2 linked regions of the Drosophila melanogaster genome follow. The protein of the gene in region 1 purifies or fractionates together with the protein of each later gene. This does not show direct contact. Each region holds a gene or a part of one and is shown on either strand. Other genes may lie near its edges.

Region 1 (6,679 bases):
GAATGCAGTTGCAGTGGCAGTTGAAGTTGGCAAAACTGCACTCCAAGCTGAGAGTGGGGCTTTCTTCGATCCGCACTGGTCATTTCATATCCATCTACAACTCGAACTCCCTGAGCCGCGGATGACTTTCTACTTTATAAACATAAATTTCACATTAGGCACAGCCAGACGACCGCGTGGTGAGTAAACCGTGTCTGGAGCGGCTTCTGACTTTGAAATGGGGATTCCCTCGCCCCGAGAGACGCCGAGGAGCCATCAAACAGCCAAAACAGCTACCAATTGGCCACACACTGGTAATTAATTTTCACATTTTCAGCTTTTCACCGGCTAAGCGGGGGAAAATCTCTCATTGTTCCGCTTGGCGATCAGCGGAGCTACATGTACATGTAACCAGCTTGTTATGGTTTGTTTTGGCCAACAAAGTGGAACCTAAAGACTTTGGTGCCACTGGCTTGATTAACACGTTCGTCGTTTCTCAAAAAAAGTTGCTAAATTTCAGCCACCACCATTCGAAACTGGTTCCTACATTTCAGAATTATGCGGAAATGGCGTTTAAAGTGGCTCTTGTTCCATGTTTTTATTCCAACTTTTCGCCTTTGCCCATTTCTTTGGGTTCGGGTTCCCCCCTTTATACAATGTGTTTGTTTTTTTTTTTGTCCAGGTGTGATGATCGTTTCTGCATATATTGTGTTCCAAACAGACGATTTCTTTTCTCCTCCCAGCAGGGAGAACCGCAAAACGGAACGGGATTGAAGACACGGAGAACCGGCAAAATTTTACTTTTTTTGCGGTCAGTTACTCAATGTATTGACAGCCGTTCCAGCTGCCATCCATTTTGGGAGAAGTCCGCTTTTTTCAGCGCTTACTTTTTGCGAAAGTTGCTGGTGGTGGATGCCACACAGCCCCTTTGAAGAGTCTTCAATCCGACCCGATCCCATCCAGAGCTGGTCCGCTCACTCATCCACTCGCTCGTGGGCCGCTGGTATGTGTCTCTGTTTCCCTACGTTTTTTATTAGATCACGATTTGGATGTTAGCAAACATTCGCGCATACCAAGCTGCCAACCATGATCAACGGGCCCAAACAACTACAATGGGGGTCTATGCATAATCGCAGCTCACAACGAGATTCTTCACTCGGCTTTTGCCTACGAAAAAGTCAGGAGCGGCTAGAGGTTCTATCTAATATCAGGGATATTTCAAATCGTAAGCTAATCTGAATCAGCTCTACTGACTCACACTCTGCAGTGTGAAATATGTGAACCATCTGTTCATAACATAACTTTTGGAAATATTACAATCCATCTTCCAAAGTTCGGCCATAAATTTCCCTTTTTCCTGCTGCTTTCCGAGCGCCCTATTTCCATGCCCTTCATCACGAAGGCCGCCTCTGCGCAGCCGCAGAAGTTTCGTTTCAGTAGAGATGCTCGTTTGCCTCAAAAAAGAAATATAAAAACAAAACCCAGCAGAAAAACAAAAAACTGTGCCTCTTTCTGGTTTTTCACGTTACTCGGGCGCGCAGTTGTTGTTGCAGTTGCAGTTGCAGCAGTTGTTGTTGCAGTTGCAGTTTTCGTACGCACGTCTTCACATTGCCAAGTTATGCATGTGTGTGTGACTAGCACACTGAGAAGAAATTGCGTTAAGTTTCTAAAATATTTCAGAAACCATTTCGAGTTGAAGGTTATCCAAAAGTATCAACTATTTTAAACCAATTTTAAACCTAAGACTACAATGCTTTTGTGACAAGTTTCTCAAGCTATTTTCCCAATTATTTCTCCAAGTGCAACCGTACAAGTATGCGATTGTGAATGTGTTTCTGCACTTCGCTATATTGTGTCTAATGTTGCATAGATACATATGTATATATTTTTTGTAGGTTTTCACGTTTTTATGTTGTTTGAACTTTGTTGTTTCAGTTGTTATTGGAGTAACTGCAGTATGGTTGTTGTTTATGGCTGCCTTTAGAGTCGTTTTCCGACATTTAAAATGGCAAAAACGGGGCGCAGTTTTGTCGTCTGACATTTACTTCTGCCGTTAAGATCGAATTCAAACTGAGGATTTGCAAACTCTTGCTTTTTCATGCGTTATTTCGCTGCTTACGTTGGTCGAGAACAGGTTTCGGTTTTAGCTGTTCCTCCGGACTATTGTTGTTATTTTAATTTACTACTATTGTTCGCGAGTTTGCATTAATTATTAAAAATCGCGGGCAAGGAATTCGAATTCGATCCGCTTCTTCCGAAGAAACCAATAAAACTGAACCGTCGCGTTCGGCGCTGAGAAACGAACTGAATCTTTCTTGGCATTGGGAGTCTAAGATACAGACACACAGATACTCACATTCACTTGCGTGCCTGTGTGAGTGGGCCACCGAGAGAAAGAGGGAACAAGAGAGAGAGAGAGAGATGGAGTCCAGGTGAGAGTTCCCGATCTTGGCCCGCCTTTGATAAGTGCAGCGAAAATTGTTGGCATTTCTTTTCAATCATTTAGCTCGATAAACAGTGCTGCATTCAATGTCTTTCCCTCAAAGAATTACTGAGATTTCTCCACTTATCTATCTGATAGCCTCGAGATCTGGAGAAAGACCCAGAGAAAAGTCGGGGGAGGTTTCTTAATGCCTCTTGTCTACCTGCAGGATGTTTGCCGCATTCATTGAACTGCTTTCTTTGTGCAAGCAAATGTCAAACCAAATGTTTGGTTTTGAAATAGCTAGCCGACATTAGAACTCTAAGATAAATGTGGAAATACACAGAAAATATACGAAATATCATATCATCAATATATATCATAAAGAGAAGAGTGGTTGTAGTTAACTAAATCAAAACCCATAAATTATATTGATTGCTTTCAATAGTGAAATACCGACGATTTGGCATTATATTAATTTTTTCCGAATTTATATTTTCAAAGCGTTTAAAAGTCCCCACAGCACCTTATCCACCTCAATTTCAAATCGACCGCGCAGCGAACTCAACACGACCGTTCATCGTGTGGCATATCTCCCATCTATAGCAACCACCTTCCCCGATATCAGCTGACTTATCAGCTGTTCCGTACGGCAATCCGCAGTTGGGCACGCACTCACGTAGCGCTACAGTCAGAAAACCCATGTAAAAAGTCCCTTATAACTAAGTTAATAAATAAATAAACATAAAAGTAGAAAAATGAGCCCCTCAATCAGCGCGGAAGACAAGCTAGACTATGTAAAGAGCAAGATTGGCGAGTATCCGAACTTCCCAAAGGAGGGCATTCTGTTCCGGTGAGTTATCGTCACTCGAGGTTATTAGATTGGAGCACTAATAGTGCTGCGATGATGATTATGGGCGAGCAAATGGACCCTTATCAGGTTGTTAATGTGTAAAATCATTTGTTTTCATATTAAACATCAGTGACATATTCGGAGCCCTCACCGATCCGAAGGCATGTGTGTACTTGCGCGATTTGCTTGTTGATCACATCCGGGAAAGTGCTCCCGAGGCGGAGGTCATCGTGGGACTGGACTCGCGGGGCTTCCTCTTTAATCTCCTCATAGCCACCGAGCTGGGCCTGGGATGTGCTCCGATTCGCAAGAAGGGCAAGCTGGCGGGAGAAGTGGTTTCCGTGGAATACAAACTGGAGTACGGTATTGTGAGTACTCCCAAATATATTACTTACTATTCCCAAGCACAAAGATGTTTATGCTTTCAACTTAATTATCCCAGGACACCTTTGAGCTGCAAAAATCCGCCATCAAGCCCGGCCAAAAAGTCGTTGTCGTTGACGATCTACTAGCCACAGGTGGTTCCCTGGTGGCCGCCACTGAACTCATCGGCAAGGTGGGTGGCGTTGTCGTGGAGAGCCTGGTGGTCATGGAACTAGTTGGACTGGAGGGTCGCAAAAGGCTGGATGGAAAAGTGCATTCCCTCATTAAGTACTGAGAGTTAATCGAATTGTGACGAAGCCTTCCACACTTGCATTTACCTATTCAACTAGCAAATTTTTATAAAAACTAGACAGACGCATATTTTTATAACGAAATATATTTGGCTCTGATAACAGAATCGTATAATCTCTCAATGAAACATAGCTTATTTTATTTTGAATAATAATACATGGGTTGACTATTACGGTGAAACATTTGTATAAGCAAAAAGTATGTAAAACAGCGACAAAAGCAAAAATAAATAACGAAACTTGGATATCGAAAACTATTTTTGGATAGTTTTCCGAACATAAATTAAATAATCTATTTTAAATTTTGGTGTTGTTATAGGGTTTTTAGGTATGTATATATTAAAGAATATATTACTTAAAAAAAGTGCACATGAAAATAATTATTAATTTAACTTTTCCAGCTATTTACGTACATTAAATTTTCTTTAATTATTAGCAATCCAAAAAGTATGCTTTGAAATATGTTACGTGAGTAAGAAGCAACAATGCAAACGGATGAAATTCAAACCAAGATTAACGGATGTCTTTAAATGGGTAAACATTTTTAACTGCTTAAAAATTATATCAAAAATATATTTTCTAAAAAACGATTTTCTCTCTCTGCGCACTCACTGCACTCTCACCTCCCTCTCTCTCTCTCTTGGCACATTCACTGATTTCGTCGCTCTCAAGTTTACCGTTACCGGCGCCTTTGCTCAGCGATAAACAAAAATTGTTGTGCTGCGTTAACCCAGAATTCGAGGAACTTCCGCCCCCGCCCAGCCCGCCGATAAACAAATCACACCAACCCAACAACCCCCCGAAAAGACACGGAAAAATAGCAACAAACCGAGCGCGCAAGGAAAAATCAAGGAATCAAGGAGCGGAGAGCCAGAAGGAAGAGAGAATGGAGACTGGCAAAAAGCGAAACTGCGCAGCCACTGCGCTGCCGACGTCGCTGCTTTCAGCCTGTGCTCATTTCGCATTTGATTTTGATTTCACTCGTGAAATGTGCGTTGTGCGGTGATGACGCTAACGGTTGGTGTTTGTTGTTTAACCACACACCCCCCTATTCACAAAGAAAAAATAAATAAGAAGAAAATTATTCAAGCACGCCTGGAGAATTGATATTGATTGCGCGCTTTTCCTCAATTGGCAAACAATTGACTAACAACAACTAAAAAGTGGCTCTCATCCCGCATTCCGCGTGTTTGTTGTTGTTTATTGTTGTGAAAAGAGAGCGGAAGGAAGAGTGGAGAGAGCGGAAGGGCAGAGAGAGGGCACAGGCATAGAAAGCACGGCAATTGACAGCACGTTACGTATACGCCTCTTACGCCCCGCATTTAGCATTTGTTTGCCAAGTTTGCTGTGTGCTTGAGTGTGTGTATAATTATTAAGAAACAATTACGTGCACGGTGCCAAACAATTAACTCGATGACCCAAAGTGCAATAAAACCCCCACTGAATCATGAAACTGAATACAAAAGTTAAACTCTGAACATGAATGGTGAAAAGAGGCAAAAAGCATGAATGTACAAGCAAGCTGGAAGTGTTTTTTTTTAATTTAGTGAAAATTAAAGTTTCGCTTAAAGATAGCATGGCAACATATGTATGTAGAGCATAGCCCATGTTTGAAAATATGAGTGTTATAGCGTGATAAGAACCCTGCAAACAAATATTTGAATGCGTGGAATGTGACTATTTATAAGAAGTTTAAGGTCAGCAGAAATGACGTGAAAATCAAATAAACGAAAAAGCCAGAGCAAAGTAAAAGCTGGCAAAAATGAAAATAAGCAGGCATGACTTTATAAACATAAACAGACAAAAATGGGGGTGCTCTTTTTATTTGCTTTGCGAGGCCTGCGGAATGGAGTTTGAAGTGAGCAGAAAATCAATAACAAACACAAATAACAAAAGGAAAGTCAACAGCTTGCTTCAACTAAAAGTGGAACATTAAAAATAAAGACTCTGTAAACATTAAAAATCACACTACTAAGCATTGCATAAAAGGCAAAAATAGAAGTGGATGCTAACAATGGAGACAAGACAAGCAGAAGTTGAGCAGAGCTAACAAGACAACAGGAAGAGTTGAGTAATTTATGTAGGGGTGTTTTTCCCACAAACTCCAAACTCCGGCTGCAGTGGAGTTTTGAAGTGAGCAGAAAATCAATAAGCGACTTACCTTCCTCCCCCCCCCCCCCATGACTTGCAGCCAAAAATGTTGAAATGTAGAAGCTCCAAAAGCACACACCCACAATCGAAAAGCATAAAGCATAAGTGAACAAAAGCGTTAGCGAATCAATTGTTGGCCCGAAATATTGGACCGCCTGCAGTGACACAATTCCGGTCGAAAGCCACTCGGCCATAAAGCAAATAGTGTCATCCGCCCAGCTAACTGAATATATTTTTGGTTTGGTTTTCGCTTTTGTTTTTCTTTTCATGTTTGCTCGCTGTGCCCCGCCGCTTTTTTTTCGACTAAGAACATTTAGCACATCAAACTAAAATTAGCCAGCACGCCGTCGACAGCGATGAGAACTTACAAAATCTGTCGCCAACTGCAGGCAAACTTTGCGGCCGCGTAGCAGCAGGAAATGTCCCACGACTATCAATAGCCGCCAATCCAGAACCGAACCGAATCGAACCCAGAACCCAGAGACCAGAGACCAGAAGCACTTGGAGTCAACCAGGAAGCCGAAAGCCAAGAGCCAAGGGGAGCCGCAGGGGAGAGTCCGCACCAGTTCCTATGCAGCTATATTCGAGTTTAAATGAAAT
Region 2 (6,872 bases), on another chromosome or scaffold:
AGAAACGTGCCAAGGTTCTGGAGCTAACCGAAGAGGAGCAGCTTGAGTTGGCCATCAAGAATTCCATAAACGAGAACGGTGGTGGCGGAGGCGAAGGCAACCAGAAAAACGATAGTCCCGATGGAGCCAGCGATAATGAGAGCCTTGAGGAGTTCGATGATGAGGAGCTCAAGGGTGTGGCCGCCGCCTCTTTCGAGAATCACTTGGGCGAGGCCAAGACTGAATTGACTGCCCTTAAACTGCGCCTGCTCAACGCCGCCGGAACAGATGAGATGGTCCAGCTGCGCTGGCCCTCGGACACCAAACTGCAAACTTTGCGGCTGTACATCAGCCAGACGCACAAGCACATCCCTCAGGACGGCTACAAGCTCATTTGCGCCTTCCCGCGAAAATTCCTGGAGGCGGAGCATAACGATAGCTCCCTGAAGGAACTCGGCCTGCATCCATCGGCAAATCTGCATCTCACAAACGCGGACGATCAGTAGAAGTTTTCATGTGCATCTTATATTTATTTGCAAATTTTGTCATCCCAAGAAAACCATTATCGTCCCAAAAAAAAAAAAAAACTTTCCATTTGAATTACATTTTTGTCCTAAAAATAAGTTATGTTGAATAAATCAACTAGAAATGCTATTGTCAAGGCTTTTAGACACCACATGCGTTTTCTTCTCTGTGTTACAATTTAATTCACCAACTTATTTAAGTTACCTTAATTATATATGTATGTATTTTTAATTCCAGCTTTTTGAATATTTTTGAGTAATAACCACCCTGTCTTTTATTTCGCGCCCAAGCTAAGCAGAAAACAGCTGATTTGGCCGCATGCTTTAGTCTTGCAAATGGCGTTGAATACTGCGGCCAATTGTTTAAATTGAGGGCGACAATTTAATCTGTACCGTCATGTCGAAACCAATTACCTTTGTCACCGGCAACGCCAAGAAGCTGGAAGAGTTGGTTGCCATCCTGGGACCCAGTTTCCCGCGCACCATTGTGTCAAAGAAGATTGATCTTCCGGAATTGCAAGGTGAATAACAGCCATCATCTGAATGATGTAGTACTAAAACTACGTATGTTTAATGTCAGGCGACATCGACGAGATTGCCATCAAGAAGTGCAAGGAGGCAGCGCGTCAGGTGAATGGACCCGTGCTGGTGGAGGACACTAGTCTGTGCTTCAATGCGCTGGAGGGCTTGCCGGGTCCGTACATCAAATGGTTCCTGGAGAAGCTGCAGCCGGAGGGGTTACACCGTCTGCTCCATGGTTGGGAGAACAAAAGCGCTCAGGCTATTTGCACCTTTGGCTACTGCGACGGTGTGGATGCCGAGCCTCTAATCTTTAAGGGCATCACCGAGGGCGTTATCGTCGAACCTCGCGGCCCCCGGGACTTTGGATGGTGAGTCACTTGCGTAAGAAGTCTGATAAAATGGCTCTTGCTTATTAAATTCTCTATCATTGCCGCAGGGATCCGGTTTTCCAGCCCAGTGGCTACGATAAGACCTACGCCGAACTGCCCAAGTCCGAGAAGAACACCATTTCCCATCGCTACCGCGCTTTAGCTCTACTGCGGCAGCACTTCGAGAAACAGGACAAGTTAATAAACTAGGACTCAATTTAATTTAATTATTCAATTCAATTATTTAAACATCGCATATTTGTTCTACATTGTCGAGAAGTTGTTGCAACCTATGTTTCGAGTTCAAATCTCTCTATGTATATCTGTTTCTACTTTTGTTACTTCTATCCGCACTGCTTAGTCATCCTTCTTGGTCTTCGGCTTCTTGGCCTTTGAATCCTTCACCTTGACGCCAGCGGGTTTGTTCCAGTAGTAGATCAGCTGGCCCAGAATAACCGAATTGGCAAAGGTAGAGGCAATGAAAGTGAGGATGATCATAAAGTCACCAGTCTCCTGGATGGAGGTGAAGATGCGGGCCACCGATCCTGCAAACATCATGATCACAGTGGCGGCTGACAACTGACCAGTGGATCCAGCCTGGTAGTTGGTATACGCCTGAGACAGCTTGCCCACCAGCAGGATGGGAATGTTGCAGCTCTGGATGGTGAACAGCACCGACATGGGCGTTAGCCCCGAATTGAGAACATACATCAGCACGACATATCCCACTAGAAAGAGTCCCGACTGCGCCTTGCGCCCGTTGAAGAACAAGACCAAGACGGCGATTGTGACGGTCTGGATGGCCAGGAAGGTACTGTCGCCCCAGGCACTAAACGGATAGCCATGCATAAAGTTGTACGACAGGTGGAAGGAGATGGCCAGCAAGTCCAACACTACGCCCACAATGTTGATGCCCTCGCCAGACTTGCTGTTAAGGATCTTCAGCACTTGTGGTACTTTGACCAGCACGGAACCTGCGATAATTGCCAATCCCAAGCCCTTGCTCAGCAAAGCCTTGAAGCACGGAACTACGAGAAATGTTAATTGATACTTAATAGGCACATACCTTTTTGAATTAGCAGCCACTCACCATCTAAAAAGTTGTGATAGAGGAAGTAGTTATCATAGCACTTCTCGCTCATAAGGAACAGAGCACCCTGCCTGATAAGATCCGTCATTTTTGTGCTGCGAACAATTGACTTCTGTTTATCTCGGAGGTCGTGGTCGTACTTAATTAGTAAGCGGCGCTGGTTTCACTATGCACCGGTGTTATCAAGCTGGCCGGCCGGTCGCTCCGAGAATGAAATTGAAAGCCGCCGTTTACGCACACGTAATGCGGGTTCCGCCGAAGAAGATATTGATGCCCGGTGGCGAATCGGCTTGGGAGTGGAGGAGGAATGATAAGATAGGTGGTTGTGCCAACGTTATGTTATTTTCGTCCGGCTTTCGCTGAAAGGTATGCGCTAAAAATCGCTACGTGGGTTTTCCTGCTACTCAACACTGCCACAAAGTGGAACAAAATCGAAAAAAAGTGCAACATTGGCAGTAAAGTAAATAAAGTGTTATTCAACCAGATTTGGTTTTAATTTTAAATTTGCGCTGAATTCTTATTTAAAATGTTATTCCATACATAATTTGTTTTTTGTGATAAAATATTTACTTTTTGCTTATTGAAAATAATTTAGGCTGTCTTAAATAGATTGCCCCACTGTCCCGTACAAGTGCTTCGATTGCGATGTATCGATAACCAATCGATTATTTATTCACCTCTACCTGAGTGCTGTAGACAAAAGTTTGTTTATTATCCGGGCTGCGTCGGCGTGAAAATTAAAACTAGCGTCAGTAAATGCTAAATACCCGGCTAATTGCTATGTCGACTTCCGATGGGGCCCCGGAAACCAAGAAGCAACGTCCTGAAAGCAGCAGCAACGGCAGCAAGGACCAAAACGGAACGGAAGCCGGCGCCGAAGGCGACTCCCGTGATAAAGTGGCGCTGATAACAGGCATAACGGGCCAGGTGTGTAATTGATGAATTAGTCACGGCTGTTTCAGGGGCATCTCCTTCATTCCGTGCTTACGTGTTCAAAGTGCTCGATTCTTACTTGTTCCCTATCGCCCAGGATGGCTCCTATTTGGCAGAGTTTCTGCTCAAGAAGGACTACGAGGTGCACGGCATTATTCGGCGGGCCAGCACCTTCAACACCACCCGCATTGAGCATCTATATGCCGATCCAAAGGCGCACAAAGGTGGGCGTATGAAGCTCCACTATGGCGACATGACGGACAGCAGCAGCCTGGTGAAGATCATCAATATGGTGAAGCCCACGGAGATTTACAATTTGGCAGCACAATCCCATGTCAAGGTCTCCTTCGATCTCAGTGAGTACACGGCCGAGGTGGACGCCGTGGGCACGTTGCGCATTCTGGACGCCATCCGCACTTGTGGCATGGAAAAGAACGTGAGGTTTTACCAAGCCTCCACTTCGGAGCTATATGGTAAAGTGGTGGAGACGCCACAGAACGAACAGACGCCCTTCTATCCCAGGTCGCCATATGGTAAGGCAGCAGCTTCGATAATGTATGCTAAAAGTAATACTTAATCCCACCTAACTTTAGCCTGCGCTAAGATGTACGGCTTTTGGATCGTCATCAACTACCGGGAAGCCTACAACATGTACGCCTGTAATGGAATCCTCTTCAACCATGAAAGTCCACGACGTGGCGAGAACTTTGTGACTAGAAAAATCACCCGTAGCGTGGCCAAGATTTATCACAAGCAAATGGAGTATTTTGAACTGGGCAATCTCGACTCAAAGCGCGACTGGGGACATGCCAGCGACTACGTGGAGGCCATGTGGATGATGCTGCAGCGGGAGTCTCCTTCCGACTACGTCATAGCTACAGGCGAAACGCACAGTGTGCGCGAATTCGTGGAAGCCGCGTTCAAGCATATTGATCGAGAGATAACGTGGAAGGGCAAGGGTGTGGACGAGGTGGGAGTGGAGAACGGCACGGGTATTGTGCGCGTCCGCATAAATCCAAAGTATTTTCGGCCGACGGAGGTCGATCTGCTGCAAGGCGACGCGTCCAAAGCCAATCGAGAGCTAAACTGGACGCCTAAAGTTACCTTCGTGGAATTGGTTAGCGACATGATGAAGGCTGACATCGAATTAATGAGGAAAAATCCAATCGCTTAAGGCCTACCTGGCTTCCAGCTCGGACTGGGATCATTTACGGCACAAAGCTCTCTGCCCGCTTGCGGAGCTATACACTAACCATAGTCTAAGCGTAAAGTGATCAGCGTAGTTGATTTGTCAATGTATTTCTGTATTCTCGTGGGGATTTGCAATCATTCCTTTTTCTACTTTGCCGCGTACGTTCATGTTCAGTGTGTGATTCTACTTGTTTTTATACAGTACCAGATGTAACGAATATTTGAAATAAAGACGTTCGAGTAACAACGTTTTAATACCTTCAAATTGTAACGAAATGTTTCCGAAGTTATGTTTATTCGTTCGAGGCTAAACACATAAATCAAAAACAAACGCGGACAGCTTTTCTAGGTTTCTTTCTTGCCGAAAGGATTGATTTTAGACAGCCAACTGGAAGAGGGGGAGGATTCCCTGGAATAAATCATTGGTTAGGAAATTCATTACAGAAGTATTTGTGACTTACAGCTTTGTAAGCGCTTCGATATCCGAATCCTTGTGTTCGACCGACGATTCTGCTGCTAATGCATCCGGCTTCTCCAGCTTTCCCGCTTCGCTGATCCCCGCCTGGCGCAGCTGCTCGATAAGCTTTCCGCGGAACTCCAACTTATGCGGCACCACCTTTTCCGCTTCGCGCAGCTGCTTTTGCAGCTTGCGTATGGCCTCCAAATAGGTATGGCCGTACCAATCGATTTCCTCGGGCGTATATGGTTCCAGATAGCGGCGGTATTCCTTAAGCACTTCCTGTTGGCGTTCGGGCTCGTCGGCGAGGGCTGGAACACCGTTCTGCAGGGCCTGAAGCACCTCTCGCTTGAGTTTCAGAGCCAAAGCGGAGCGAAGATCGCAGGCACGATTCTTGAGGAGGTAGTGATCAAAGCCATGACATTCATGGATCTGCTCCAGCGTGCGTTCCGTCACCACCACGGACATGTAGCAGTCCAGCACATGACTATGGACCACCGAACGCCTAAGATTTGGTACCCAAAAGTGCGGCACGCGACGCTTTGTTTGCTCGCGTTTCTGAAAGCCCTTGATCACGGCCTCGCCACCCCAGATGCCACGGTGCGATTCCGGCGTATCGATCAATGGCAGCGGGATGTTCTGCACCGGCTTGATGGCGTGCGTCACCTCATCTCGTTCCCACTGCTGCTCCTTGGGGATATAATGGACCGCAGCCGGGGTCGTCAGCTTCCACTCGCGCCAGAACTTCCTGTACGCCTCGGGCAGCTGGGCTCCCAGACCCTTGTCAAAGCGACCCGGACGCTTCCATCCGTTTAATAGCTTTACGCCCTGCAGAAGGTTTAAACGCTTTGTTATTCCATGGGGTTTACGAAAGTTAACGCAGCTATTGCGTCACAGAAACGCGGCGCACTACCAGTTTCCTCTTTATTTTTGAGGCAATCACATACCTGTGGCGTGGCGTGTGCCATTTTTTAAGGAACGAACTAGCAGTTTACTGTTATTATTCACTATTAAAACTATAGTGGCAGTTTAAACTTGGCTATTAAACTATATTTTCCCTGATTTTGGCTAGGCCAACGGCGCTCTTCCTCTTCCTGTTTGGAAAAAACAGCTGTTCGTATGTGAATGGCTGGCAGCCAGGGTTGCCAGGTTTGAAAAGTATTTCGGAGACAGAGCTTCGTTCAATTTAGTTTTGTGAAATTTAGAAATGCTCGGCAAAAAATTGAGTTTCGAAGTAGTTCAACTTATTTATTATAATCAATATATGAAACAGTGCGCCAAGCCATACTCCGGCATAAGTACCATTCACGAGTAGCAAGAAATAAATTTATGCTGTCGGCAATTAAAATCGAAAAGCGGCTTACTTTCGCTATCAGAATGTAACATGTAAGTTACTAATGTATTAACAATTAAATATCCTTGAAAGAAACGCGATTTATTTTGACTACGTATAAAGCTTTTAGCAAATGCAATTAATTTTTTGGAAATTCTCACGCGGTTAGCCCAGCCTTGTTCAACCTGGCCTTAATCGTGTTTATCTTGAGCGGCAACAGCTGGAGCATTTCACGCACAACACCAATCTCGCCCTGCAGCGTCTCGGCCGCCTCCTTGTGCAGCTGGCAACCAGCATCGAATCTCTGGTAGTAGGTGTGGCAACTAGTTAGGTGCTCCAGCTGCTGGAGCGGATGGCCACTGATCAGCTTGTAGTAGATGCGACCGATGTGGAAGTGGGCGTAGAGCATGTGGCGTTGCTCCTCCACGTCCATGTTGGGTCGCCATTCCTCGCTGGGCGGTTTGACCAGATAGGA

The links. The genes of interacting proteins can lie anywhere in the genome.
Region 2: the proteins of Aprt (region 1) and Gmd purify together in Drosophila melanogaster (affinity purification with mass spectrometry, with the first as the bait; one large-scale study listed by BioGRID). This does not show direct contact.

Annotation. Positions count from the first base shown.
Region 1 is NT_037436.4:1,881,266-1,887,944, reverse strand, and holds Aprt (adenine phosphoribosyltransferase), read left to right. Parts: upstream 1-2,925; 5' UTR 2,926-3,159; coding exon 3,160-3,254; intron 3,255-3,384; coding exon 3,385-3,622; intron 3,623-3,696; coding exon 3,697-3,912; 3' UTR 3,913-4,053; downstream 4,054-6,679. Other genes in the region: CG13937 (uncharacterized protein), read left to right, coding at 6,673-6,679.
Region 2 is NT_033779.5:4,973,297-4,980,168, reverse strand, and holds Gmd (GDP-mannose 4,6-dehydratase), read left to right. Parts: upstream 1-3,145; 5' UTR 3,146-3,239; coding exon 3,240-3,410; intron 3,411-3,513; coding exon 3,514-3,949; intron 3,950-4,009; coding exon 4,010-4,590; 3' UTR 4,591-4,869; downstream 4,870-6,872. Other genes in the region: CG8892 (uncharacterized protein), read left to right, coding at 1-485; CG8891 (uncharacterized protein), read left to right, coding at 901-1,024, 1,084-1,393, 1,462-1,603; CG3792 (uncharacterized protein), read right to left, coding at 1,751-2,421, 2,484-2,571; mRpL28 (mitochondrial ribosomal protein L28), read right to left, coding at 4,953-5,016, 5,069-5,892, 6,012-6,032; CG14043 (uncharacterized protein), read right to left, coding at 6,555-6,872. UniProt on the Drosophila melanogaster protein: Catalyzes the conversion of GDP-D-mannose to GDP-4-dehydro-6-deoxy-D-mannose (also known as GDP-4-keto-6-deoxy-D-mannose or GDP-4-dehydro-alpha-D-rhamnose), an essential step in the synthesis of GDP-fucose from GDP-mannose.